4 linked regions of the Alligator mississippiensis genome follow. The protein of the gene in region 2 interacts with the protein of the main gene of each other region in a pairwise test. Links are inferred from orthologs where the notes say so. Each region holds a gene or a part of one and is shown on either strand. Other genes may lie near its edges. The genes, in order: SLN, TMEM79, RNF8 and pulmonary surfactant-associated protein C.

Region 1 (6,553 bases), on a different chromosome or scaffold from region 2:
CTGCTCAGGGTGTGGCGCTGCCTTGTTGCTCCTCTGGCTGTTACACTCCAGTGCTCTTGTGCTGCTGCCATCCCTGGGGACAGCTGCAGTCAGGCAAAGATTAGAGCAGTTCTGAGGGTGCTGTAAAATGTTACAACTGGAGCTGAACCATGTCTCTCCTCCTGCCAGGCTAGCCCCAGAGCTGGAACCCAAGCCCAATATCTGAAATGCAGTCATGTAGCAACAGCAGCTGTAAAGCAGAGGCTCTCTCTTTTGCAGAATCCATGCCATACATAATAGACTAGCTATGACTATTCTCTGGATGTTTTATTAGGAAAGTGGATCTGGATCAGCTCGTGCGGTATTGGTGTGGATACCAGTAGCAAGGCCAGATGATTTCCAGTGTGATTCAGCAGTAGCTAACTGGACATGTCTTTTTACAAGCCACCAAATTTCTGTGTCAGCTGCATGTTATTAATGAGGGTAATATGCCGTATCAGTCATTTAAAAGATGGAGGAAGAGATAACGAGAGCTACAAAACATGGTTTTACATCTTCTCCTTTATTCAAGAGAGCACAACAGTGAATGAAAGAAAAGTTTCCACTTTCTTTCAGCTAAGTTAGTTTGTGCCTTTTTTGTTTCAGTTTATGAAGACACATACTGAATATTACAGTCTTGTACCACGGTGAGCCTGGTGGTGATACCAAAGAGGTAAGCATTGTGGGTCAGTGTATTACATTTGCAGTAACTACTGGGAGTCATATGTAGCAACTACTGAGGACCCTGCCTTGTCCATTTTACAGCTGGGTCACTACAGAATATAATAATTACATCATCATAGACCCATTAAAACACCTATCAGCACAAGCAACAGAAGCGTGAGAGTAAAAAAATCATTACATTATCAAATATAAAGGAAGTCACACTGTTGTACAGGAGGTGTTACATACTTCTGCAGAGATGCATGCTTAAATGAATTTAAGGAGCATGAGATTGTCTTTTACTCCTGATAAGATTTCACTAGAAGCCACATGAGAAGCACAGTTATCAGGACAATCATGAAGTTAAGGAAGAGTTCTTGTGTGGATCGTTCCATTTTTGGGAATATTCAGGGGAAGACTGGAGGTCAATAGCTGAAGTAAAGGGAAAACTTCAGAGACTCCTCCCGGAGTCCTTGAGCTTAGCCTTCAGGTCACAGCCTCTCCTAAAGAAAACATGAACAACATGGATACATGAATGTAGGAAGCTTGACAAAGCTATTTATATTATATAAGCAAATGTTATTTCATTGCTAAAAGTTAGTATGAGCTGCAGAAGCTAAAATGCAAAAAGCATCTCTAACAGCTTATCACCTCCTTTGATTACCACTGTTTGACAAGACATGTTCTCAGTGTCACTCTGAAATACATTTCACATGACAAGTAGACATAGAAAGGGAGCAATGACAGTTATTTTTTATACAAACCCCAAACTTATTATTTTGAAGAGCAGTATACTTAAAATACCATTATTAAAAATAATAGTGAAATATAGTTTCACAGATTTAAAAATAGATTGGGTGGAAAATGTTCATGGATATGCAAAGCTTAAGCTCTTATATTTCTCATTCTTTATATTTTTAATATTATTTTTACTTTAATACTGCAAGTGTAACTTAAGAGAACCACCAGACTCGGCCTTTTTGAACTGCTTGGAAGAGAAATCAAGTCTGAGGATTTATGTTCTACTAAAACCATAGGAAGGACCAGGGTTATATATTTTTGTTTCTGAAAAACATCATAAAATTTGTGAACAAATCCTATTAAATGAAATAAGATTTTCTCATGGTCATTCTGAACTTCCAAGTTGCTATGGTTTTTGTATAGTAATGTTATTCATGCTACATTAAAAAACTTTGCCTCAGCTACAGCTTGATTTATTCCATCACAGCAAGTTAAGTTTTTTGTATGCATCTCTGAACACACAGAGAAATGTTAGCATGTGTAATGAATAGTACACCACTTAATACTATTCGTATGTCAAAAAAGAACAGTGTTTAAAGAAAGGAGAGAGAAGCTCTAGGCAAGAAAAAAATATGCAGCCATACAAACAAATCTTAAAGAAAAGGGTAAATTAGAATAGGACATTTAAGATGAAAATAAGAGAAGCCTTGATATAGCATAATGAAGACAGAAGGGTTTAATCGGAAACTGTCTTAGTTCACCTTGTAAACTATTAAAAGCCTAGTGCATGCACTTATGCAAATTTCAGCATCCCCATGTTGTTCTGTCAGCTTTATATTTTATTTTTGCAATGGAAAATCCAGACTTAATAAAGTAATCCATGATTTTACCTTAAGAAGACAAATGGAACCCAGTATTTCAGCCTCTGGGACCCTAGGTCAATGCAGATATTATTTCTTCCTCAGCTTCTGCCTATCTCCCAATGCAATCTGGATTCCCAATCTCTGTGTTGGAACTAAAGTAGTCAAGAGGGAGGAGAGCAACAAGTGTTTTGGCAACTAAAATGATGACATCACCAGCTAAGTAAAAGGGGCTAAGCTGGGCAGCAGGATTCAGTTAAGGCTATTTATGCAATGGGGTTTATGGATAGATTTACATATTAACATTTTCTTTCTTCTTAGCATGAGCTGTTAGGGATATGCATAAACCCTTTGGATCCAATGGAATTTTACAAAGATTTATTTTGTGCTTGGAATTAATCAGTTTATAGCTTCATCCTTAATGAAAAAAAGGGTGCTTGACACGGTCCACATTTAATTTTCAGGATCCGTACAAGACAATTTTCAGTCTTTAAAAAACTGTATGGGGTCCAGATTGCATAGTTTACTTTACAAGCACAGGCACCTGTTGCTGTCTTACTTTCTTATTATAGTCTCTGAAGCTTCTCGTGTTCATATACATTTAATCTGAGAGAGACCACTGGAGCAAAATATTCTTTGCACTGGATATGCAATAATTAAATACAATATTATTTACTGGTGAAAGTGTTTTGAGATCAAACTACTGTAAATCAGGATCAACTGCATTAGATAGGTACCATTTACCTCGTCACTTGGATTCTGCCTACTAGCCCAGTGCCCGTCTGTGGCTTAGTATAACCTTCCAAACCCCTGAGCATGCAGTAGAAAGCTGCTTCACTAATTGTAGACTTTCTCCCTAATGACGCTGCTCAGAGGTCTTGACAATTGATAGTGTTGTCCAGCCCCTGGGCATCTGTATAATGGATACACAGTGACAGAGCTGTTAGAACACAGCATTTGTCTCGGGTAAACTTGAAAGAGAATAGAAAAGTATTACATTGTACAGAACATTGAATTCTACCTGCCCTACTGCGCCTGGTTTTACTACATCTCTGCTTATGCAGAATAAGCTGAATATTTCCATTTGGCATCAGTGTATCTTCTTCTGGAATGAAGCATCATGAGCAAAAGAACCAGAGTCTGATTCAAATATTTTGGGCTTGGGTTGTAATAGGGAATATATGACAAACTGCCAGCTAGCATAACATTTGCAGTGTCCAAATTAGGCACCTAATCTTTCTACACAATGGATGAGGTGACTAAGGTACCCAAGATTTAGATTCACAGATGCCAAGAAGGTGTGTGTGGCGAGGGGGAGGGGAACTGCCTTAACTAGCCATTAGGAAATGCTGAGGTGAGGGGTGAGGCTTCTATTGTGCCACTATCAGGGAGCTGTGTGCCTCATTTTGGACTGCAAACATATTCTTCCTACTAACTGGGCTTCACTATCACAGTGTCTCTCCTGAGCTTAGATACCTACACTCTTTCTTTCAGAGGGAGTGATGACACCCTTGCTCTCCCATCTAGGATGTGTGAAACCCAGGTTCAAATCCCTCCTCTACCTGTGGGTATTTGAACCGATGTCTCCCAGGAGAGTGTCCCAAGTGCCTACTATGGCCTGCTTTTGGATGAAATTTTCTCAAGGCCTAGGAGATGTAACAAAAGAGACTGATACAAGCTGTGATGGCTGCAAGATTCTGTAGTGATACCAGTATAGCAAAACCGTGCCAACTCAAATCCTGCTTTATTTGGGGTCAAAGGTGGGGCAGTTTAGCTCACTTCTATCACTACAGGATCATACATTTGTACCATTCAGATTGCAACAGCTGCTCTGTACTCATGAGCAGCAGCTCTTCCCCCCTTTTACAGTGGCTAAAATGTACTTTGTTTGTCCATATGACCTCTTGAGGTCCCTTCCAACCCTAACTTTCTATGATGCTATAACCTCAGGCTATATGATAATGTGGGATAAGGAGCTGTTCCATTTTTCTAGGACCAGCTAATTATTCATTGGGCCAGGGGAAAAAAGGGTTGCTTCATGGCTGGGGCACTCCCCTGGGGAGATGGAAACATGGTTCCCTGTTGCAATGACTGTTTTCATGTAAAATATTTAATGACAAATATTAAAATAGTCATCGGAGCTGAGACTGGAATCCAGCCATTTCCCCCTCCCAACCTTAGTCACTAGAAAACAGAGATGCTCTCTCTCGCCTCTGCCATCTGGCCCAGTTAACATATAATGAATGAATATAATTGTGGAAAGTGGAGCAGCTTCAGCGGGAGAGACCAAAAGCTCCTCATCCCACAATATTGTATAACAAGGTGGTTAGGACACTCTACTGGGAAATGAGAGATTGGGCTCAAACCTCTAAGGCAGGGGAAGGACTTATGGATCTTGCCATGCTGGGATAATACTCTAACACTGAGGTGGCCAGCCTCCAGCATGGGTGTCACAAGTAGTGCAGGCAGCCTGTTTGGGACATGCAGCACAGTGGCAGACAGGGCAGGGAACAGAAAGCAGAGCAGCAGATTGGGTAAGGGAGAGGGATTGAAGTGGCACTGGGGTATCATAGTATCATAGTGCTTAGGGTCGGAAGGGACCTAAACAGATCATCAGGTCCAACCCCCTTTCCCGGGCAGGAACGAGTGCTGGAGTCATATCACCCCAGCCAAATCTCTATCCAGACTCCTCCTGAAGACCCCCAAGTAGGAGAGAGTACCACCTCCCTTGGGAGCCAATTGCAGAGCTTGGCAGCCCAAACTGTAAAGTAATGTCTCCTGATGTCCAGCCTGAACCTTCTCTAGAGCAATTTGTGGCCATTATTCCTAGTAACCCTGGGTGGTGCCCGGGGGAACAGAGTCTCACCCAATTTCCACTGGCCCCCCTGGTGAGTCTGTAAATGGCCACCGAGATTTAGTGAATAAGAGCTGATGGTCTTTACTTTCATTTCCAAGCACTACGTGCTACTGGTTATACAAGCAGCTTTTCAGTTCCAATGCCATTGTGCTTGTAAATTCACAATCTGAATTTTCATTAACATGCCCCTTTTGCATGTTATACCTATTGAGTATTCCTAGTTTGTTTTCCATAATTCAGGGGCATTATTTCAGACCGCGTGATACAATTTCATCCCAGCCACACAATGACCCACCAGCCCAGCCCACAGGAAAGAATAAGGATGTAAGATGCATAAACTTCAGCCTCTATGAAGCAAAGCCAAATCCCCTTAGCCTTCTCTTGTGGGGGATGAATAGATTCAGGCCCTTTAGTCTCTCTTCATACCCACTGCCCCTTGACCATGTGAGTGGCCCTCCTCTGGACCCTCTCAATGCTAGCCACATCCCTCTTGAAGTGTGGCACCCGGAACTGGACACAGTACTCCACCTGTGGCCTGACCAACCTGCATATAGGGGAAGGATCACCTCCCTGGACCTGCTTCTGATGCATCTGTAGATGCACGACAAGGTGCGGTTAGCCTTCCTGACTGCTTCCTCACATTGGCGGCTCATGTCCATCCTGGAGTCAACAATGACTCCAAGATCCCTTTCTGTCACCGTGTTGACAAGAAGGGTGTTCCCCAGCCTATAGGTGTGTTGCTGGTTCCATCTCCCTAGATGCAGTACCCTGCACTTGTCCGCATTGAATTCCATCCTATTCTCATCCGCCCACCTCTGTACCCTGTCTAGATCTCGTTGGATTCTGTCCCTCCCCTCCAGCGTGCTTACCTCACCCCACATCTTAGTGTTGTCAGCAAATTTGGACAGCATGCATTCCAAACCCACATCCAGGTCGCTGATAAAGATGTTGAACAGTACAGGCCCCAGGACCAAGCCTTGGGGAACTCCACAGCCCACATCCCTCCAGGGCAAAAACAACCCATCCACCACCACTCACTGGGTGCGACCATCTAGCCAATTTGTCACCCATCTGACTGCATAGGCATCAATGCCGCAGTCACCTAGTTTTTTTGAGAGAATGTGGTAAGAAACCATGTCAAAGGTCTTCTTAAAGCCCTCTGGCTCTCCAGAGACCTAGCAGACCTCCTGAGGCTAAAAAGATAGGCCTACAAAGGATGGAGGAAAGGGAGTCACCTCCAAGGAGGATTATTCTGCACTGGTCCGGTCCTGTAGGGAGCAGACCAGGAAAGCCAAGGCTGCAACTGAACTCCAGCTAGCTTTGAGCATCAAGGACAATAAAAAGTCCTTTTTCAGATATGTGGGGAGCCAGAGGAAAAGCAGGGGCAACATTGGACCCCTGCTGAACCAGATGG
Region 2 (7,671 bases):
GAGTCGGGGTGGAGGTCAGGAGACCAAACAGGGCTAGGGGTGCAGGAGGTGTGGTCCCCACCCCTCCCTTGTCTCCTGCTTGACTGTGAACCCAAAGTGTGTCACAGCAGGTCAGTAGTTGCAGGGGAGACCACATAGGTGGGTTTTGCCAAGGGGGTGCTCTGCCTCCCCACATCAGCAGGGTGAAGGGGGCCTGGCAGCTTGAGTAATGCTCTAAGGGGCGTTTCCTCTCTCAGTTTTGCAGCAGACTCTGTAGGCAAAGGTCCCTTGAACCCTCCCTGACCCACCTGGAGCCCAGAGGAGGGGCCCGCACCTCACCTGGAGATGGCGAAGAGCCCTGTGAGCAAGGGGATGAGCTTCAGGGCCTCCTGGGGCAGGTAGGTAGCCAGCACGGCGAGGTTGAAGAAGTAGAGGATGAAGAGATGCACGGACTGGGCAACATAGCCGCGGTGGATCTCCACCTCCCGCCGTAGTTCCCCGAAGGGCTGCAGCGCCGAGAAGCAGAGGCGCGAGATGCCATACACAATCATCCCTGCAGAGAGAGTGGGGTGAGGCCAGGGAGGAGAAGAACCTGGGACACAGACAGACAGACGAGGCTGTGTGGGCTGGGGGAGGTGGGCAGAAAGGGAGAGAGGTGTGAGTGGATGGACACATGGATGATGCCCAGGGCGAGAAAGAGATGGAAACCTCCTTGCATAGACACTCCTCTTGGAATCTGCTCCAGCACTGACCCACCCTTGCACTCCTTTTCCTCACTCCCCCCTATTATTCCCATTGTACACATGGGCACTGGAAAGGCTGAAGGATGTGCCTGAGGTTGCTTGGTGCATCAGTGGCAGAGAGCCTACCTCTGCAGCTGCCACCCTGTTGAGTAGATGATTCATGATGTGGTCAGAGCAGCTAGGTGTCCCAATCCCGGACCTTGGCCTGGCTGTGCTAGGAGCTGTACAAACCCAGACTGAAAGTGTCCTAATTGCTGCACCACCCAGCCTTCCTCTGAGTCAGAGGAGCTGCTCTCAGGCCCAGACAAGGGAGAACACCAGGACGCTGGTGGTTGGGAGCTAGGGACCCCTCACCCCCTGTTAGACTGTACTGGGACCCAGAGAGCTCCCAGAGACCTGGCTCACCGAGGATGATGGGGAAGGTGGCAAAGGTGCCACAGCGAAGGGTGTAGACCAGCCGGATGCTCATGCTGGGCATTGGGGGGGCATCGAAGGGCAGGAAGACGTAGGCCCCGTACACGAAGCAGGGGTAGAGGATCATGGCCGCCACCGTGGAGGCCACGGCTTTGAGGTTGGCCTTGCTGCAGCTGGAGCACGGTGGGCATCCGCTGGGCACCCCGGGCTGCTCCTTGCTGTAGTGCCTGGGGCTGCAGGGCACGAAGAGCTGCTTCTCAGAGCTGCTGGTGTCTTTTTGGGTGCTTTCGCCATGCCGAGGCACTGGCTGTTTCCAGGCGCTGGTCCCTGCTGAGCTGCAGCGCCCGGGCGTCCGCTCGATGCAGCAGGTATCGATGGGGATGAACATGTGAACTGCCTTCTCTGGCATCTGATTGACTTCATCCTCTGTCTGCTCCTTCAGTGGGGCAGGACTGAGGAAAGCCTTGGCCTCTCCAGGACACTCCAACTCAGTGCCTTCCTGGATCCCCTCCGGGCTCGGCCTCCGCTGTCCCTTGGACTCTGCCTTAGCCAGGGCTGGGGGCTCCCCAGTCTCCTTATACCCGGAGCCGCACTGGGACTGGTCCCAAGGCAGGGTGGTGTCGGGGTCCCCCGGCTGGTGGTTCCCCAGGGACACCCCCTCTTCCACCGTGGCACTGGGGGCCAGAGGCTTCAGCTCTATCAGGGTCATCTCTTGCATGCAAGTCACGGGGTCGATGGCCATCATCTTGGTGCTGTGGGCAGCTGGCCGCCGAGGCCGGTGTGACAAGGGTCACCTCTGTCGGCTTTGTCCTTTGCTGTTTTCACCCTGCTGTGGAACAGACACGCAGACCTGGCCATCGCACCCAAGCCCCCAAGATGCACCCATTGTATAAAGCCTTGATTTCAACCCCTCCTGTGCTCCATCCTTTACAGGCTGGAGGCCCTGAGAGAAGCCCAATGCTTCACCCAAGGCCGCCAAGTGAATCTGTGGCAGAGCCAGGCAAAGAACCCGGGTGTCCTGGCTTCCAGTCACCCTCCTGTGCCATGTACAGCCCCCACAAGGTTTTGCTCTCCAGGCCTCAGCACCAGTCGGACAGAGAAAGCCACGCAGGGAGCAGTGAGTTCCCCAAAAGGGGTTGGACTCCAGGAAGGACAAGGAAGAGCTCTGAGATCAGGCCATGTGCTGTGCAGACATGCACCGGTTGCACAATGCCCTGCTACCAGGATCTCCAATCTCCGAAATGAACTGGGATTCGCCTTGAATTGAGTGGGGGGAGGTAGGCCTATCCTTCCCATGCCCCTGGGGGGAACAAGGGGTTAATGGCTCTGAACACAGCTAGATAACAGAGCCGGAGCTGAAGCCAAGCAATTCCCCTGAGACAGCTCTGGGGATCTGACCGCAATGGCACAGGGAAGTCTAGGCAGGAAGAGTTCCATGTGGGACATGGGGTTGAGAGGAAGGGCTCCCAAATAAACACGAGGTAGCAGAGCTGGGGCCTTGCCCATGATATATCAGCGCATGCCTGGCTGCTCAGGCAAAGAAGGGTGGGATCGCCACCCCCATTTCACAGGAGGAGAAACTGGGGCATGGAGCAAGGCAGTGACAGGGCAGTAGCAGAGCAGGGGACACAGCCTAGAGCCCTGCTTGGCATGTCTCACCCTCCCCAGCCCCCACCTGACCCTGTCCTGGTCCCGGGTGGCACCCCGGCTCCCCTAACTCCAGCAGGGGAGCTCAGAGCTGTGCTCCCCCAGCACTGTCACCTACCGGCCAGGCGCTGGGCGCTCTGTGGGGCCATGAAGGAACAGGCAGCTGGTGAACCGGTGCGGAGCCAAAGGCTCTAGAGTTCTGCTCCTTCGCCTGGACTTCAAACCTGTTTAACCAGCAACACAGGGGCCGGGATTAAAGGGGTGGGGGCAGGCCTGCCTCACCCAATTGGGCACTGCCTCGGCTGGCAGAAGAGGGTACGTCCCATGGGAGGGGAGTACATACCTACGTGTACACACACACACATGTGTGTGTGTATGCATGACTGTGAGTGTTTCTATGCATGTGTATTTGTGAGAGTTTGCATATATACCTATGTAGGTGTGTGCGCATGACTGAGTGTGAGTTTGTATGTGTATGTATGTATGTGTGTGCTTGTGAGTGTGCATATGTGTGTGCATTTGTATGTGTGTCCACTGATTGTGTGTGTGTGTGCATGATTGTGACTGATTTTGTGTGTATGTGTACGTAGGTACACGGGAAAGAGTGTATATATTTGTTAGTGAGCATGTGTGTGATATTGCATGTGGCTTATTCTCCTCTTGTGCATACATTTTTGTGTGGTGTACATGTTGTGGGTGGCATTATGGTATGTTAGGGTATACGCCTGTATTTTGTTCTATATGTTTCAGGTGCATATTTTTGATGCACTTTAGTATGTCTGGGCCTGTGAGAGTACATATTGTATGTACTTCAATGTGGAGTTCGTGTGCAATAACTAGGATGCACGTGTGTGTGAATATGGGACTGTCATGTTTTGGTAGCCATGTTGGTCTGAGACAAAAAGAAATGCAAAAATCTGGAAGTCTTGGTTCAGAGATGATGCCTTTTATTAGACCAACTGAGAAATTGCAAAAAAAAAAAGATCTTTTTCTGCAAGCTTTCGGGATTCAGCTTCCTCTGTGCAAAAATTAAGTTTATTTCTTATCTATGGGGACTTTTTACCATCTTTAATTTTCCCTGAGCCTGATAAAGGGTGTTTGAGCCCGAAAGCTTGCAGAAAAAGTAATTTTTTGTGATTTCTCTGTTGGTCTAATAAAAGGGATCATCTCTGAACCAAGAGTTCTAGAGTTTTGCATTTCCTTTTGAATACGGGGCATGCAGGTGCGTGTTTACATGTCTGTGTAGGGGGGTGTTGTGAGTGATGGGTGAACAGGGAACATGTATGGTGATCTCGCTGTCAGCACGTGTGCTCCTTTGGGCATGCACAAGGGGTGCATTTGGGACAATGTGGCACGTGCAAGCAGACGTGCAAGGACAGACCCAGCGCTGACCTGCGTGGCCCTCTCTGAGATCAATGTTTCGTTTGCACAGCAGACTGGCGGGCACAGGGGCTCTGCGCAGTGACTTCCCACCTGGCTCTGAACAAACTTGGAATTTGTACTCGTCCTAAGCCTCCCACAGAGGGGGAGAGGTGGTGGATCCCAGCCAGCCGGGAAAAGGTCATTTTCTACCTAAAATTGACCAAAATAAAACGACCTTTCCAGGGAAGTGCATTAAGGTGGAGGCCGACTGTATTAGCAGCCCCTCTGCAAAACCAGCCCCACATGATGAGATCTAATTCACCTGATTAATGCCCTTAATTAAACCTCCCAGAAAAGGAAGGGAATTCACCAAGGAAGCTAATCTTCACTCACTCCCTAATGTGTCCGCACAGCCCTGCCTGGTGGGTAGGACTTGGACTTCACTCGGAAAGGGCTGCACCCATTGATTTGAACAGTTTTCATTGTTTCAATGTGTGTCTCAATTTCTTTACCTTTGATCCATCTCCCAGGCACCATCTACGTTAAACCTCCATGGGTCAGGGGAGTGGAAAGCCTCACAGCTAGGGTTGCCAACTCTGCTTGACTCTATTCCAGGAGGTTTCATTACATGACGTAATGACGTTAATGACTTTATATCAGGAAGGCAGATGCACATGGCTATTTCATTTTTAAAACCAACTATATACTACTATATAAATAGTACTACTATATAAATATAAATATACTACTATACAAATAGTAGTGTCCTGGACTACTATATAAATCGGATTCAACATGTAATATTTATTTCAATGCATGCCCTATCATTTATCTCCCGGGTGACTCTCAGCAGTCTCCTGGAGATTGATATCTAATTCCTGGAGACTCCCGGGCAATCCTGGAGGGTTGGTGACCCTGCTCACAACCCAGAGAAGATGAGCTGAAGTTTTCTTAGCGTGGTGGGATTTTTACCATAGGTATTTGTGGATGTGGTGGGCCCTGTGCCAAGGCAATCCCCACCTCAAAGCCCCTAGCATCTTAACAATCAAGGCAGGCAGGGAACAGACATGAATTTTGGGTGGTAAAGCAGACTGCTGGGAGAATGAAGAAGATGGAGCTCTAGGGTCAAGTTCTTTGGGGTTATTTGGGGGTATAAAGAGGCAGCTAAATGCTTTGTTAAAAATCCAGCCACCTACATAGGAAAGACCTAGGCTCCCCTTTAAAAGCCTGATCTCCTGGATCCCAGCCCAGTGCCTGCTCCTCTGCCTTGAATACCTCGGGCACCTCAAGCTCTGCCTCGCTCATCAAACACCTATCGCTGTTTTACCAACTCGTTATAAAAACATGCCTTTCATTGCTGGACTAGAGCCCGGGGCTCGACTGGCGTTCAGGGCTTGAGCCACTTTACGGCCCGACTGCTATCCAAGTCAGTGCAACAGGCTTGGTTTCCCAGGACCAAGTATACCCTCTTGTTGCCATGGGGTAAATCAGGAGCGAGTCCCTGGGTGGCAGCAGGTTTAAAGCAGGGTTGAGAGAGGAGAAGCCAGATGCAGCCTGGCTCGGGGGCAGTGAATGTGGATGTGAACGGGATGCCCAGCACCGAGGGATTGCAGAAGAGGCGGCAAGCCTAAAAAAATCAGGAGATTTGCAAAGAAAATGGGGCTCCTTTCCCTGTGCCCCCTGGCTTCTGAGCCTGTGGGTTGGCTTCAGGGCAAGGTTTTACGCTAGTCTCTGCAATTAAGACCCTAGAATGTGACTTTGGACAAAGGGTGAGAGTCTCACTTGACTCCAGTCGCTGGAGCATGAAAAAGAAAGACCCAAAAGCCAGAGCTTCCTATTTTGTCTGACGAACAAAGCCTCCAATAAAGTTTATTTGAACCGCAAGTGAAGCCGGGAGGCGGCCATGCTGCCAGCACTAAGTCCTGGCCGTCGGCGAGCCTTGGGAGGGAGGCGGTTAGGAGGCCCGCTCTCGCGAGGCTGAGCGGTGGGATCTCGCGCGCTGAAGCCGAGCCGCCTGCCCTGTTGCCAGCCGCGTGCGGAGCGGCGCGGCGCGGGGGCCGAGCTCTCGCGAGGCTTCGGGGGCGAAATCTCGCGTGGCGCGGGCGGGGGGCAGCGCCGCGCAGCGATGGCGGCCGCGAGGGGCCGGCGGGCGCGCGGGGGGGCGGCGGCGGCGGCGGAGCGGGGCGCGTGCGGGCGCTGCTGAGGGGCGGCAGCCGCTGGGCCCGGCCCCCCCCCGCCGGGCGCCATGAGCCAGGGCAGCGGCGCTCCCGGCGAGAGCGGCGAGCCCGAGGCCAAGGTGCTGCACACCAAGCGGCTGTACCGGTGAGAAGCGGGGGGCGGGGCTGGGAGCGGGGGTCTGGGAGCCGGGGGGGTTGGAGGGGAGGGCGGCGAGGCTGTGGGGAAGGGGGCCTGGAGACGAGCGGATGTCGGGGCTGGGCTGGGCTGGACGAGGGGGCATCTGGAGGGCGGGCTGTGAAGAAGGGGGCGAGGGGCTGGGCTGCAGCGGGGGGGGGGGGACGAGGCCGTGGGAAAAGGTGGGGGGGGCGTTGGGAGCTGAAAGCTGGGCTGGGGGGTCTGGAGCAGAGGGGATGTCGGGGCTGGGCTGTGGAGGATAGTGGGGGGGGGAGGGTTTAGGGCTGCAGGGGCTGATGTGATGGGAAGAGAGTCAGGAGAGGGGAAGGGGGGTCATGGGGTCTTCTGGAGGAGGATCTGGCCAGGGAGTGATGGGGGCTGGGGTGTGATGGGGAAGGGGAGATGGGAAGGAGGTTGAGGGGGCTGAGGTGGGGTGGGACGGACAGGCTGTGCGGGGTGGAGGGCTGGGTGTACGGGGGTGAGAAGGGATGTATGGGGGCAGAAGGGAGAGGGTGAGTGGAAGCGGCAGGGAGGTGGAGAGGGCTGTCCTCTTGCCCCTCCCTCACTTGTGCCGTGGCAGATGGGGCAAGCTGCAGAGCTGGGCTCTACGCCCCTTTCATCATCAGCCCTCTGAGGAGAGGGAAACGGCTAAATCCTTGCGAGTCTCTAGATGCCGGGGGTCCCCGGGGGCCGGTACAGCGGGAGGATGCTGAACTTGCGTGGCTCTTAAGGGACCACGTCTTCCTCGGTGGCCTGGCAGCACATCGGGGCCGCAGTTCTGGCTGGGGGCCCTGGCACTCCCCCAGCACCGCTCCCGAGCTCTGCTCTGCTTCCCGAGCCTCCTGCTGTTCCATTTTCACTGAAATCTCTGCATTGTGCAGCAAAACTGACGACAGAAGACGTGATTCGGGGAATAATTATGGTTCTGATCAAGGTGCTCTGCTGCGATCCCTGTGAGCAGAGCACTGCCATGTGCTGTCATCCCCCTGCTTTGAAGAACACCCCTAGGGACAGGGAATCCTCTCTCCTGGGCTCTCTTCCTATCCTAATTTGCTCTGAGCCTGTAGCACAGTCATCCCTTTCTTCATCGTTTTCCTCCAGCTAAGAAACATGGACAGTAACCCAGAGTGGCAGGGGTGGGGATAGCTCAGGGCAAGAAGGATTATCTTGCAAT
Region 3 (7,574 bases), on a different chromosome or scaffold from region 2:
TTCTCCCCACACCCCTGCTGGCTACCCGTGCAGCCTCCCCCCCCCTGCAGAGGGATGCTCTCTTTTTTGATCCTGGAAATATAGTAACCCTAACCTTGTTGTCTTTGACTGTCCACTGGCCTTCTTCATTCTGCTTGAAAACACAGTGGTTGCGAGAGATCATCAGCGGGCAGATTTTTGATACTAGCTGGTAGGTGAGACCAAGTCCTCGACCGATAGTTACCTAAAAATAAGAAGTTTAACAACAGACATTACCAATAATTGAGAATGGGTGCTCTATATGCTTTGATCTTAAATACAAGGAAAATGGTCACTGAATTTGTTTTGCACAGTGGAAATTAAAGCAGTAAACTGACCTTAACAAAAAGATTACTATTTATAAATTTAAACACAAGAAAGGTAACATGTTGATAAAGTTAAGTGCCAACAGTAAATGGAAGCCTTTGAAAAGTGGAAGTATTTGGGCCTTTTGGGGAAAAAAGAAACAATTTGCCGCCTCTGATACTGAAGACAATGACCATAAAAATAAAGAAGAACAAAGGCTTCAGAGGCTTCCAGATAACCACGTAGCTTCTAAGCGAGGGGTGGGCAAAATACAGTGCGTGGGCCGCGTGCGGCCCACCAGGCCATTTTATCTGGCCTGCGTGGCGCCTAAAAAATTTAGAAAATGAATATTTATCTGCCCCGGCTGCCTGTCATGTGGCCCTCAATGACTTGCCAAAACTCAGTAAATGGCCCTCTGCCCGAAATAATTGCCCACCCCTGTTCTAAGCTCCTCCTTCCTCTAAGGCAGTGATTCTCAAGCAGGGTGCCACAGCACCCTGGAGTGGCTTGAGATCCTTTCAAGGGTGCCACAGGATGCCACACTATGTTAGCACTGTTAGGTATGCAAACATGATTCACAAAATAAACCCAGAGATTTCAAACAGAAATCTTTAGTTGCGGTCTTTCTGAGCTCTTTGCAACAGAACTATTATTTTTCTGTAGTCAAAAAAGGAGTGAAGATCAAGAGCTGGCATCTTCGGAGGGGTGCCTCAAGACTATCCAGGAGTGCCTTGAGTCTAAAAAAGCTGAGACCCACTGCTGTAGGGCCTCTTACCTGAGAGATTACGCTTCAGGTAGAATCGGGAATTTATTCAGCTTTGCTCTTTAAATTTTTAGATTGCATTTTCTTTGCTGCTGTACTACAAGTACCTACTAGCCACTGCTGCCATTAACACCAGAAATTTAACCATGTACAATACTCCCTTGCCCAAGAGATCTCCCTGGGCATTCAAAATCATGTTTTAGTACCTGACAAGTCATATGTTTCTATTCTTCCTAAACTTCAAGAGTTACCTCAGCTAGAAGAATCAGCTGGTTTCCTGCCTGCCTCCTGTATCAGAAAATGAACTAAATTTCAACTGCAAGGGCAAATTCTACCGTTATATCTATGAAAAGCCATGGTGCCTTCAGTGGAGACTGCAGAGAAGTAACATTAAGGAAATTAGCTTTGCTGATGAAGATGAGCCTGGCAGAAAGAAACCAGCTTAATTTTCAGAGCCCACGCTGAGTTTGTAAGCGTGATTGGCGAACTACTTCGCACAAACACGGTAGAACCTTTTTGTATGAAGAGCAAATCAAATCGTAAACTGTGAGCTTCTGCATGCCTATCCAAATTTCCACTGATTAAGATTTCAAGAAAGGATTTTCTTGATTTGTAGCCCAGGTAAGTTATGAGACCTAAAACCATGCATTGCAATAAACTTACAAATATTGGCAGTTAGTTCTCTTCTCCTGCCTGCAGGCCAGATCAATGGCTCAAGGGTTGGACTCTAAGGATGCGTCCAGATGAGCATGCACATGCATTTCCTCGGGGACAAACAGCAGCGACATTTAGATGTTCGGGAGGGGCCACCAGGGTTTCAGTGGCAGCAATCCATACGTGCAGAGGAGCCTAGCCAGCAGCCAGAGTAGGGTTCTGATCATCCAGGCTCTGTTTTTGTGTGGCGCACGCTGCAGCCACATGCCCTGCTCCACTTTTTATTGGTGTGGGTTTTTTTGACACTGGGATCTCCTGTTCTCAAAAAAACCTCTGCAAATTAGCAGTACTATGAACATCTGTATGTGTGGTGCATGTGGTATGTGGCGCCGCTGAAGGGTCTGTGGAACAACAAACCGCACACGTGCGCTTGTCTGGACGCATCCGTAGGCCCTTGGTATATATACACATTACATATATTACACAATCAACTGGTTAACTAAACAATAAATTTAGACCGGCCACAAGTGGAAAGTAATGATCACACAATTAACTGGTTAACTGCACCCTATATTTAGGTCACCTCAAGACTCATCAATGAGTCGTAGCAGAAATCATCCTCAAATCGAGGGGCTGCCCCTGCCACCAGCAGCGTAATTACAGGTGACAAATTACGGGTGCATAGACGTGGCGACGACAGAGCTGGTACACATTTCCAAGCACTAACTTCATAAGCGGTTGGCTCTCTTCAGAGCCAGAGAGTCACTGTCAGAGCATGGCATGACTTTGCACATGTGGCCGGTCAACATTTGCTGCACGACACACCGGTGAATGACATAATATAATGTAACAGGTACCAGGGGCCTTAGACTACCAAAGCCGGGAGTGGGGTGGGGAGGGGAGCGAAAGGCTGGCTCTCCCACCTACCTGACACAGCAAGCGCGAGCCTACCTCAAATCAACATAAAACTCCTCCCTTCCCTTCCCTTCCCTTCCCTTCCCTTCCCTTCCTCCTCCACTCCCCCGGTGGTCGAAGCCCCCCTGGCCCGCGCACCTCAGCGCCGCCCCGCAGCAGCAGCCACTGCTCGTGCTGGCCGAGGCGCCTCAGACACCAGCACCGGCCACCACACTCCGCCATCCCGCCCCGCAGGCAGGACCAATCGCTCCCCTAGGAGAGGTGGGGAGGGGCCTCCGCGCGACTGGGGGCCGCGGCGCATGCGCAGGGGGGCGGCCAGGTGGAACAATGGATGGCCGAGCTAGGAAGAGCGGCGGTGGCAGGGGCTGTTGGGAGTGCGGTGCTCGCGCATGCGCCCGCAGCTGTCCGCAAGATGGCGGGGCTGTTGCGGGGCTTGCGCGGGGCGGGTCGGGGCTGCGCTTGGCGCTGCGGGTATCGCCGCCCGTGCTGCTCCGCCGCCGCCGGCCCGGGCCCCGCCGCGGGGCAGGTGCGTGAGGCCTTCCTGAGCTTCTTCCAGGGGCGGCATCGGCACCGCCGCCTGCCCTCCGCCTCGGTGCGGCCCCGCGGGGACCCCGCGCTGCTGTTCGTCAACGCGGGCATGAACCAGGTGTGTGCGCATGCGTGTTTGTATGAGCACACGCGTCTGCATCCTTTCCAGGGATGGCTACCTGCGTGCATGCACATGCGTGTGTTTGTGCGCACCTGCGTGTGTGTGAGAGTGCCTGGATGGGAGTGCATATACACGTGCAAGTGTGTGTCCATGTTCATGTATGTGTGTGTACATGTGTGTTCCCATGTGCGTCTGGATGGGAGTGCGTGTACACGTGCACGTGTGTGCAGCTGGTGTATCCTGTGCAGGGCCTACCCTGGTGAGGCCACCTGGAAGAGGCTTGTATCCCACACCTGCACCCACCCTTCACTCACGTTGTCAAGCAGGGCAGGGACTGGGCTGAGCCTGGGGGGTGCCTTTCCCATGCCCCAGCCAGGAGGCTGCAGGTCTCGTTCCCCTCCACAGTCATAGGGAAGTAGGGCTGAAAGCGGACCCCAGAGGTTATCTAGTGCAACCCCCTGCCTGAGGTAGGATCATCCCTGTCCAAACCATTCTGTACAAATCATAATCTAGCCTCTGCATGAATCTACCATCAGCCCTGACACAACACAGACCTAGCACCCTAACCTGCCCCAGGTAAAGCAGGGGAATCACAGCAGCCAACATCCTGCTTCTATTAAATGTTGCCAGTATACATTCAAGAGATCTTAGATAGCTACACCCCCTGCTAGAGGAAGGCAAAACCCCCCACAGTCCATACTGGTCTGGTCACAGGGGTAAAAGCCCTTCCTGACCCCAGATAGGATGATCGGTCTGACCCTGAGCAGAGGTTTAAAACCCTCTAGCCAGGAACCTCTGGATTTGGTCCCAGTGGGAGCATTGGCACACCCTGACCAAAGTCTTCAGCCTTAGCTATAGCCAATACGCAGTGCTTCTGGGAAGGCATAAAAGCACCCGTACACGTGTTATAGCAGACAAGGGGAGGGAGGGGGCAACCAGCAAAGCACAGGAAATGCCCATAGTAGTTATGCCTGGATCACCCCCGAGCAGTGTCCAACCTCTTGAAAACCTCTAGTGATGGGGAGTCCACAGCTTCCGTAGGGAGTCTGGTCCACTGTCTCACTAGTCTTGCAGTGAAGAAGTTTTTCTGGATGTCCAATCTCAACTCACTTTCTTGCAACTTGAAGCCATTGGTCCATGTCTTCTCTGCAGCAAGAGAAAACAGGTGCTTTCTCTGTTCTTCAGATATTTGGAGCAGTCCCCTGATGTGCTTCAGCTGTGATAAAACAGAGCCAGTTACTGAGCTGTCCCATCTGCCTATGTTGCAATTAGCCCTTAATTGCCCTAGGTGCCTTCCTCCTTGTTCAGAGTTGCCACAGCACAGTTGGAGTCCATTGTACCAGGCAGCGTCTGAAAATGTTTACACTTTTACATTGCTGTTCTAGTTCAAGCCCATCTTCCTGGGCACGGCAGATCCCCGGAGTGAGCTGGCCCAGTACCAGCGTGTGGTGAACAGCCAGAAGTGTGTGCGTGCTGGTGGGAAGCATAATGACCTGGAGGATGTGGGCAGAGACACTTACCATCACACCTTCTTTGAGATGTTGGGGAGCTGGTCTTTCGGGGATTACTTCAAGGTGAGATGCTAAAGCCAGAGGTAGGCAAAATATGGTTTGTGGGGCTGTATCTAGCCCACCAATTGACTCTGTCCAGTCTGTGGGTGGGTAGCAGCTCCAGCTCCGGCCTCTGGTGGCACCACATGTTGCTAGGTCGAAGCAACCCTGCCCACCAACCCGCCTGGCTCTGCCTCACTGTCAGGCCCCGGCACCCCTGCTCAGGCTGGGCTGGCGGTGCCCTGCCTGCCTGCAACATGGAGCTGGCAGGAACCCCGTTGGGTGCCAGGACCGTGTGGCAAAGGTAACCCAGTGCCTTCTGGTTCTGTCCCCACCTCTTCCCTTGCCCCATGCAGCACTGCAAGCCAGCCCAGCCATCTGCCTCTTGGCTGCAGCCAGCACAGCTCCTTCCTGTCCACCCAAGTGAGGCTGCTCCCAGCATGCTGGGGCTCCTCCTGGGGGAAGGGGAACCACCAGGCTGTGGGGGTGCAGCCTGCATGGCTCTAGCAGGGAGTTGGGGTGGGTTGGAGGGGGCTGCTGGGCTTCCCCAGGCTTTGTGAGAGAGCCAGTGTGGATGGAAAGGAGTGAGGGGCAGGCAAGCGGGTTTGAGGCTCAAGTAGCTCCTAAAGGGTGTGCCAGTGTGCATGCTGAGGCAGGAACTCCCTTGTGATTTGGGGGATGGCTGGGTGATGGCAGGGCTCTGGTGAGGGTGGGGGCATCCTCCCTTGGCCTAGTTTCCTGCTGACTGGTTTTGGTTCCCTTGAGAAAGACACTTTATTTTGAGCTATTACACAATCACATCTATGTACACTGCTAAAAAAAACCCCAAACAAATCAGGACAAAATTTATTCTTTGAAATAAAATTAAAATATTCCATAATGTTCGTTGTTTTTTTTAAGCATGTGATTTGGGTTTTTTTCTATGGTTTGTTAAAATGATATCTTCACCATTAATTTTACATGTGTGGCTCTCAACGGCTCACCAGAACTCACTAAGCAGCCCTCCAGCCAAAATAATTACCCACTCCTACACTAGAGCGTAAAATCCTCAGGGACAGGGGGTCTCTGCAAAGTGTCAGGTGCATCTTATGGCTCCAGAAACATAACTGTACCGGATACAGTCTCTTGGCTGCTTTGATGACTGCATGTTTCTCACAACACAGGCTACATTCTTTGTTGTGAGCTACATGGCTAAAATGGGTGTCTAACCAGGGAATGTGCTGAGCGTATGCGGGTGGTCTAAAATGATAACACCTTCACCAGCTGCCTAACTGTGTGTGTGTGTGTGTGTGTATAAAAAGACTACTGACGTATTAAATATTCTGTTAACTCTTACGTAGAAAAGGGGAGCAGTTTGTGGGGAGTGGAGGGGGGAAGGATGGGTGTTGGGTTACACCAGATAGGAGGCATGGAGTGATCCTTGTATAGAAGTACAAGCAACGCTAGGAAAATTTGGTGAACCTGTGGCTTTAACAATGTATCTCCGATGGGAGCACTGGGTGGCATGCTATCTATACAGAGCTCTTTCCTGCTACTGTGCAGGGAGTTAGAAGACACCTCAAGCGTCATCTAGTCCAACTCTCTGGTCCTGTGACTTCCTGAAGGTAATGGTGACTGGTTTCAGGTGCCTGGTGAACAGGTATCCACACTTCAGAAACCATCCTAGCAGCTGTCCCACTGTCCCCCTCCTTTGGTTGCTTGTTTTGCAGGCTGTGTGGGACCAAATGAACTGTGTGGGGGAAGGTAGGTCTGTCCTGTACCTGTCCCCTGGATAAGAAAAGGGTTCCAGCAGGGTAGGCACTCAGTTCAAAAAGGGAAAATGAAGGCTTGAACTGAGCTCTAGTGCCTCTAGTCAGTAAACTCCCCATTGAATAGGGAGTCACTCTCACTGATTCTCCAATTGACTTAGTGGGTGTAGGCACTGCTAGGTCACATTTAGGAAGCTGATAGTTTTCCACAGATGTCTGAAGGCCTGTCTTGCTTGCCTTGCTGCCTTCATGCTGTGTGATATGCTATCTTTCATAGATTTCATAAATGTTAGGGCTGGAAGGGACCTTGAAGATCATGAAGTCCAGCCCCCTGCCCCAGGGGCAGGAAGTCAGCTAGGGTCAAAGGATCCCAGCAAGATAAGCATCCAAACGTTTCTTGAATGAGTCCAGAGTAGGTGCCTGCACCACTTCTGAAGGGAGTCTATTCCAGGCCTTGGGGGCTTGGACAGTAAAGAAATTTTTTCCTTATGTCCAGCCTAAAACAGTCTTGGAGGAGTTTATGACTGTTGGTCCTTGTTTTTCCTTGGGGTGCTCTGGTGAACAGATGTTCTCCCAGATCCTGATGTACACCCCTTATACACTTATAAGCAGCCCCCGGGTTCCCCCTGAGCCTGCGCTTCTCCAGGCTGAAGAGTCCAGTGGCTCTCAGCCTCTCTTCATAAGGCCTATTCTCTTGCCCTCTGATCATGTGTGTGGCTCTCCTCTGGACTCTCTCAAGCTTATCCACATCCTTCTTGAATTGTGGAGCCCAGAATTGGATGCAGTACTCCAGCTGCGGCCTCACCAAGACTGAGTACAGCGGGAAGATGACATCCTGAGATTTATTTGAGAAGCATCTATAGATGCAAGCCAGAGTTTTGTTTGCTTTACCAGCTGCGACATCGCATTGGTGGCTTATGTTCATCTTGTGGTCAATCATGACCCCCAAGTCTCTTTCAGCCATGGTGCTA
Region 4 (6,966 bases), on a different chromosome or scaffold from region 2:
TATTACTCAGTTTGTGGTAGCAAGGTCCCAGCTGAGACAGGGTACCCCACTGAGTGGGGTGTGGTACAGTGCAGCACAGCCCCTGCCTCGGGAGATTTTACTCTTAATAGACAAGGCAGATGAAAGAGCCCATGGCAGAGCAGGCTGGCGCTGAGCAGGTGGGTTGCTGGGCTTTTTATCAGTTACATAGAGACACACATTCAACTTGCTCCTTGCTGGCTCAATGCTGGAAGCTGAATGGTCAGGATGGGATTTGCTTGTGGCCAGGCTGGGGTTGGGTCGAGGGCTTGTTGCTTTTCCAGCTGGAGTGGGGGTATGTGCTGAAAAGGGAGGAAGTATGCTGCCAGCAGTGCTGCTTGTCCAGCTCCTGGGCAAACCCAGTGCCCCTCTTCACTGTGCTCACCCACCTGAGCAGCTGCTAGGCCCAGTAGATGGGAACATTGCTGCAGAGGATGTTGACAGTGGTGCCTAAAATGGAGCGGTCAGCCAGAGGCACAGGGAAGCCCTTGCTCTCCTTTTCCTTGCCCTGCTTGAGCTGCAACAAGAAATAATAAAATCAGACACATGTGGTTTCCCACCCATCAGTGGCACGGTGAGTTAGAGCCAGGCCTGGGGGCTACAACTCCTGGATGTAGCCAGGTCCAAACTGTGTGCTCAGGTCAGCTTTTCCTCTGGGGAATGCAATGCCCATGATGCTCCAAGGTGTCCTCCACGACCACTGCACTGCATTAGCAATGCTCCCCCAGTGCAAACACTGCTTTGCCATAATATTGAGCTTGCACGCATGTTGGAGGGGCAGCATTGTCCAGTAGTGGGGCCAGGGTGAAGGCTTCTGGGTCGTTTCCCCGCTAGCCATTTTTTTGACAGGTGACCTTGGTGAAGTAATTTTCCACCTCGGCTTCCAGTTTGCCTATTAGGAAAATGAATAGCTTCCCTCTGCTCTGCATGAGTGCGGGGCTGGATCGATTACCTTGGCACAGCCCTCCGAAAGCCCTGGACAGGTGCCACTGCACAAAAGCAGTTTATGCCATGCGTGCAGCCCCATATGGCTGCATTCAAGCCCTGTCTGTGGGGGTGGGCAGAGGGCTCTTGGGCTGCCCCGCAAGCTGCTCGGGGCCTGGGCTGCCTGGGCAGGGGCAGCAGGAATCCTCTGAATAGCCATGCAGCAGTGGAGTTGTGGGCCCCCCACATAGCCTGTTGCCTGCAAAGCTGGGTCCTGTATCCAGGACCCTGTTCCTCCCAAGGCAAGTGAACCAGGACTGTGCAGCTTGCCATCTCCCAAGTAACCAAAGAACATCCTGCATCCTCTGCAATGTGTTGGTCTTTCCTGGTGTCCTACCCTCAAGAGCCATCTGCCCTGTGCTCCCCTCCATACCCAGAAGGCCCACCTGGGTGCTCACCTGGTGATACTGGAATGCCTTGGTGATGGCGTCCAGGCCCTGGATGTTGTCCTTGTCAATCCTGGTAATGTAGCAGGCTTGGGCCAGCCAGGATCTGTAGCTGATGATCAGCTGTTTGCAGACAGAGCACATGTTGGCTTCAGCCCTGGTTTCCTTCATGGCAGCACCTCATTTGTGCTTACCAGAGCTGCATGGCTGCTTCCAGTGGTGCAGCCCCTTCCACCTTTTGGCATGCACATTGCCCATCTGTGCCTTGTTTCCTGCCTGCCACACATAGCCTACAAGTCCCTTACCCCTTCCATAGGCCTGTCCTTACCCTAACTCTTGCCCTTTCATTTGGACCAAAGGTGCACCTCCCTGTCTCTCTGCTGATCACACAACACTGAGCAGTATTATCTTGCACTCTCTTCCCCTGACGAGCGGTTTCTCCACATCCATCTTGGACTCCTTTGCTCAGTACTTCCAAGAGGCCCGTGGAGAGACAGCACTTGACATCAGCTTAGTGCTGGCCCCAAGCCACAGAACCCAGAGATCCAGGGGCAAGGGCATATTTACATCTGGGGGCTGTGGACTGAGCCTGTTAATGAAACACCAGCACTGTCTCAGTTCGGTCTTCATTCAGCGTCAGCACCTTGACTTGTGAGATCAGGGCATAGCATGGGCCCCTGGGTTGCAACCCACCTCAGTCTGACCTACCAGCTCCCACCCAGGCCCAGCTGCTTACTTTGTTGTAGTCATACACGACCATGGCAGAAGAGTTGATGCCTTCCTTGACATAGAAAGTCCCTGCTCGTTCCTTCCTGCTCATGGAGAGCTGCTGTGGGGACTCCTCCCCATCCTGGCCCTGGATGGTCATTCGCAACACCTGGAAGCCAAGAAAATCCTCAGAGTCAGGTCTGACCAGAGCTGGGAGACAGGTGGTCTGAAGCAGGACAGGCAATGGTGCATCAGACGCTTGCTTCCATTGCTTGAGGAGGCACCCGCAGTGTCTCCCCCCATCAGTCCTGCCAGCCTCATGCAAGCGGAGACATTAGCAAACCAGGCCCTTAGGTTGGCACAGCATCCAGCGTCGGTTGTTGCTAAGATGTTTCTGGGTTTTTTGGTTTCTTTGCTGGCCTTGCTAATCAAGCCCCATTCCTCTAACATCCTGCCACAAACCCCATTTGCACTTGCCCACAGCTCCACCTACTCTCTTTGTATACCTGTGTACATGGCAGAGCAGCCCCTTTGGCCACCCCCGAGCACTAGCACAGTGATGCATATATTTTTGCATGTGGGTAATGCCCCACTTACCGTTTCTGTGTGCTTCTCAGTGATGTGCAAGCCCAGCAGGAGGAAGCCCACGACCACCACAACCAGGAGCACGAGCACCACCACAACAATCAGGAGACACTTGACCTGGTGGGGAATGCAGGGAAGCCGAGGGGAGGCTGTGTACCTCTGGGGGAGCACAAGAGGAGAGAAGGTTAGCACTAGACATAAGAGGAACCAGGGTATGATCGCAGGAGATGGCCCTGGGTCAGGGGTTGATTCATCGAGGGTAAGGGTGTGAGGATGCTCCTTACCGGAGGCGCCTCTACCAGAGCCTCCTTGCTGCTAATGTCCATCTTTCCCCTTGTCCTGTAGTCTTCAGTTTTTCCAGTGTCCTGCCAGCTTCTGAAGAGCCTGTGGGTGGCAAGAGGCTTATATAGCGGATGCTGAGGAGCTGGAGAAGAGAGCGGCGCTGGGACTCTCCAGGTTCTCTGGCTCCAGGTCAGGAGTTCTTGCAGGCTATGTTTGCTCGGGGCCCTTCAGAGCCGGCTCCCAGATAAGCCCCTGGGAACCTGTTGGCTGAGAGTCTCTGAGGGCTCTTGGCCCTGGGGGCACTTGTACACGTTACGATTGGCTCCATGCTCTTTGTTGCCCCAGAAGATGTACTTGCAAGGAATATGAGGGCCAAAGCAAACCCACTCTGAGAGCCTGGTGCTGCCCTTGGGGTTGGAGTATTCCAGCCTGTCAGTATGGCCTGGCTCGGCACCCCAGGTCTCCCAGACAGCTCGGGCACCTGCAGGTGCTTCAGCTATTCAAAGGAAAAGCTGAAAATTAAGGGCCTTCCAGGCTGTGCAGATCCAAGCTCAGGTTCCCACTGCTTGCTGACTGGCCTGGTCTGGGCACTTCCCAATGTGCCAGCTGTCCCGAAGTGACGTCTGACCTCACTGCTAGGTGCCAGCCAACCTGTAGCCCAGCTCGAGGCTGCTCAGACCTTCACCTGCCTGCATTGCCTCCGACCCCACCTGCAGCTGCCTGTGAACCTTGGGAAGGAACAAAGAGGGACTGTGGTCGTGGCACGCCGTCTGCAACCTGTAAGCTGCTCATCCTGCAGGTCCAGAGTGTGCACGGAGCAGAGGCTAGGTGTTCGAACCCAGGCAGCACTTTTCAGTCTTTGTGATGGCTTTGCAGACTCTGGGTGCGTGCCAGCCCCTTCAGTGGCCTGGGGTATTCTCCTTGCTCAGTACAGGATGTTCTGTGCCCAGTCTTCCTGCTTCCTTGCAAAGTGCCCACCCTGGAGAAATCTGGATAGAGCAGAGCCCCATGCCAAACAAATGAAACTGCCTGGATCAACTGGACTTCACTGTTTCAGTGAAGCCCTGAGGGGGATTCTAGCTGGCAGCTCCCTCTACCCATCTCCCCTCTCCACCCGGGATCTAAGGGAAGACCCCCCAGGCTGGTATGCGGCTACTCCCCCCTTGCTCTGCCTTTGTTAAGCCCTGTGGTTCTTGTTTATTTGCTGCCAGCATCTCAGCCTCACTGCCCAGCTGCAGCGGGTAAGAATGCCCTCTATAGAGCCATCACTCATTGTTGGCTGGGAGAGAGCGGTGCCTGGGACGGCAGCTGAGACCCAGTTTTTGACTCATAAATTAGCCAGGAGCAGCTCCAGTATGGCTCCCCAGGGACAGGTCAGATAGGATGGGGGTGGGACAGTTAGGATGCAGGGGGCAAAGGGGAAGATTGGGGGTCTTGGTAGGGCACTGCAGACCCCAGTACCCAGAGGGGTGTGAAAGAATCAGGCTGGGGGCTCAGGCCAGGCTACAACTCTTGTGTCAAGCAGATGCAAACTCCCCTGTAATGATCTCAAACACATGTATGTGCATCGGTGTTCATGCACGCATATCTGGGGCATAGGCAGCCTGTGCACATACTAGCCAGGCAGTCGCACATCAACTCCCCAGCCCTCAGGAACCCAGTCCCAGCCCTCTGCAGCTCATGCTCATGCTCATGCTCACATGCATGCACAGCCTTGCACTCAGGCTCATACATTGCGTGCCATCCACACTGCCGGTGCCTTACATATACACACATACCTGTACAAGTGTTGTCACACTCACACACATGCATGTGTGCATTCCAGTATGCAAAATTGGCACGTGGAGACCCAAGCACAGGTCTGTCCAGTACACAAGCACCATGATGCCTGTCTGCACAGGAGCCCACGCATTATGTACACACATTCCTCCTGGCACGTGCGTTATTACACAGAATACATACACAACACACCTGCTCATGCACTGTTGTATGCTTTATGTGTGCACACACATGTACATTGTTGCCTGCTATATGCATGTGTACGTAATATGTCCACACACTCCCACCTGCACACGTCTTTGCCCAGAATATATACAAGACCCTAATACCTGCAGGAGAGCACCGTGATTGTGTGAAGTCTGCACACACACAGACACAGACACAGACACAGACATATGCACACACATATGGCTGCACACTGAATGTACATACATCCACATACATTTGGTTGCCTGGAGTTTCCACACACCTATGCATGTTCACTATTGCACGTGTGTGCATGTGTGTGGGCACACACACAGTCTCCCATGCACCAGATAGGAGCCCTTAGCAGTGAGATCACTTGGACGAATCATCCAGCAGCGGACATCTTCCATCCCCCTCCCACCCCGCTCCTCCAGTAGTCGAGTGTGGTGCTCTGCAGAGCAGCGTGATGGACTGTGGCATCCTTCCTGCCAGGATTGCTTCAGCTGAATATTAAAGTCACTCGGAGGGCTCAGGCTCAGGCTCAGCAGGAGGGAGGGAGGAAGGGAGGGAGGCACAGAAAGCCTGCACACTGCAGCTGCTGGGCTGAGGAGCAGAGCACGGAGAGGTGGGGAGGATTACACAGCAGGTTTGCGGGGAGCAGGAGCCCCAGCCCAAGGGGGGAGCCTTCTTCTGGAGGGGAGGAAGGCTGCTCCAGGGCAATGGCTGAGCTGCAGATAGGGAAAGTGGTGCCAAGGGGGCAAATCCTTGCCCTTCTACTCCTCGGCTTGGCCTGTCTCGGGCTGCCTGTGGGGGCTAAAAGGGGGCCCAAGCTGCCCCCCTGCCCCCGGAGCTGCTCCTGCACCCGTGACACCGCCTTCTGTGTGGACTCCAAGGCAGTGCCTCGCAATCTGCCCCCCGAGGTCATTTCCCTGTGAGTATCACTGGGGCTGGGTGCTGGGTGGGGGGACAGGGTTGGGCACAGTGGGGGATCTCTGGGTTGGGGGCTGAGAGCCATGGGGTGGGCTGGATTGAACTTGAGATAAAAAAGCTGAGGGCCCTGGATGCCACTGTAGGGTCTCTGCTGCTTGGGGTGACATCGGGATGGGGTTGTTGGGGCTTCGCTTGGGGATGACCCTCTGTGTGGGCAGCACGCAGTGTGTGCCTCACGTGGGCAGGACATAGGGGCTTGTTTGTGTCCAAAAGAACTCTGTGTGTGTGAACAGGAGCATCTCTCCGTGACCACACCAGGCGTCTTAGTGCAAGGTGTGTGTGTGCACGTGCGTGTGTGCACGCATTTCTCTTTGGTCATTTGAAGGGGCTGTGTGCGTCTCAGCGTGTGCATGTGTGCAGCTGTGTGTATGTGCACAACATCTATGTGAATCTTGAAAGCACACAGGATCTGTGCATATATGCAGGGCATGCATGTTGTCTAAGCATGTTATGTGCATATGAGCGTGCATGTGTGCATGCATGTAAGCATGAAGATGTGAGTGAACAACATCTAAGTTAGGAAATTAGTATCTGTGCATCTGTCCTTGTAAAGTATTAGAGTGTGTGTGTGTGTGTGTGTGTGTGTGTGTGTGTGTGTGTACATGCTACCAGGACACACTTTCCCTAATGTGTTGCCATCTCAGGGGACACTTTTCAATGCAGAAAACAGGCAGAGGATTCTTGTCACTGGTTTAGTTACTACAATAGACACAAAACCTTGCAATACACTTCTGATTCTTGCTGCCCTAGCAATCCCCGTGTGTGTGCATGTGCGTGTACATGTGCACCAACCTTTGCCTAGTGATATCTCCTGACCTGAGCATAAATATTAGCTCACCCCATGGACTCTAACCTAATGTAATTTAGGAAGCAAGATACTGAAGCTTGGCCTTTTAAGATTGCAGCCTGAGGGGCTTTGAAGTTGTGTGTGTGCGGAAGGAGGCATGTACTTGTGTTGGGCTTTTGGGCCTGTCTGCAGGCTGGCTGGTGACTGTGAATTGGGTTTTGCCTGCTGCGTGCATTTGGTGACTGTGCTGGTGCGTTCATA

Evidence for each region.
Region 1: the proteins of TMEM79 (region 2) and SLN interact in binary tests that used the Homo sapiens proteins (3 or more experiments, as listed by UniProt). The two-hybrid records come from large-scale screens. The link is inferred for Alligator mississippiensis from reciprocal best matches to the Homo sapiens genes TMEM79 and SLN.
Region 3: the proteins of TMEM79 (region 2) and RNF8 interact in binary tests that used the Homo sapiens proteins (3 or more experiments, as listed by UniProt). The two-hybrid records come from large-scale screens. The link is inferred for Alligator mississippiensis from reciprocal best matches to the Homo sapiens genes TMEM79 and RNF8.
Region 4: the proteins of TMEM79 (region 2) and pulmonary surfactant-associated protein C interact in binary tests that used the Homo sapiens proteins (3 or more experiments, as listed by UniProt). The two-hybrid records come from large-scale screens. The link is inferred for Alligator mississippiensis from reciprocal best matches to the Homo sapiens genes TMEM79 and SFTPC.

What each region holds. Positions count from the first base shown.
Region 1 is NC_081824.1:437,318,213-437,324,765, reverse strand, and holds SLN (sarcolipin), read right to left. Parts: upstream 2,473-6,553; 5' UTR 2,313-2,472; intron 1,185-2,312; 5' UTR 1,077-1,184; coding exon 981-1,076; 3' UTR 523-980; downstream 1-522. UniProt on the Homo sapiens protein: Reversibly inhibits the activity of ATP2A1/SERCA1 and ATP2A2/SERCA2 in sarcoplasmic reticulum by decreasing the apparent affinity of the ATPase for Ca(2+). Also inhibits the activity of ATP2A3/SERCA3.
Region 2 is NC_081838.1:17,491,875-17,499,545, reverse strand, and holds the start of TMEM79 (transmembrane protein 79), read right to left. Parts: upstream 3,007-7,671; 5' UTR 2,902-3,006; intron 1,966-2,901; 5' UTR 1,882-1,965; coding exon 1,128-1,881; intron 533-1,127; coding exon 319-532; intron 1-318. Other genes in the region: nonsense-mediated mRNA decay factor SMG5, read left to right, coding at 6,391-6,467.
Region 3 is NC_081824.1:169,948,554-169,956,127, reverse strand, and holds the start of RNF8 (E3 ubiquitin-protein ligase RNF8), read right to left. Parts: upstream 3,003-7,574; 5' UTR 2,879-3,002; coding exon 2,795-2,878; intron 224-2,794; coding exon 95-223; intron 1-94. Other genes in the region: AARS2 (alanine--tRNA ligase, mitochondrial), read left to right, coding at 3,069-3,302, 4,691-4,879. UniProt on the Homo sapiens protein: E3 ubiquitin-protein ligase that plays a key role in DNA damage signaling via 2 distinct roles: by mediating the 'Lys-63'-linked ubiquitination of histones H2A and H2AX and promoting the recruitment of DNA repair proteins at double-strand breaks (DSBs) sites, and by catalyzing 'Lys-48'-linked ubiquitination to remove target proteins from DNA damage sites.
Region 4 is NC_081830.1:21,484,337-21,491,302, reverse strand, and holds pulmonary surfactant-associated protein C, read right to left. Parts: upstream 3,008-6,966; coding exon 2,966-3,007; intron 2,841-2,965; coding exon 2,694-2,840; intron 2,266-2,693; coding exon 2,125-2,265; intron 1,512-2,124; coding exon 1,401-1,511; intron 536-1,400; coding exon 419-535; downstream 1-418. Other genes in the region: LGI3 (leucine-rich repeat LGI family member 3), read left to right, coding at 5,648-5,859. UniProt on the Homo sapiens protein: Pulmonary surfactant associated proteins promote alveolar stability by lowering the surface tension at the air-liquid interface in the peripheral air spaces.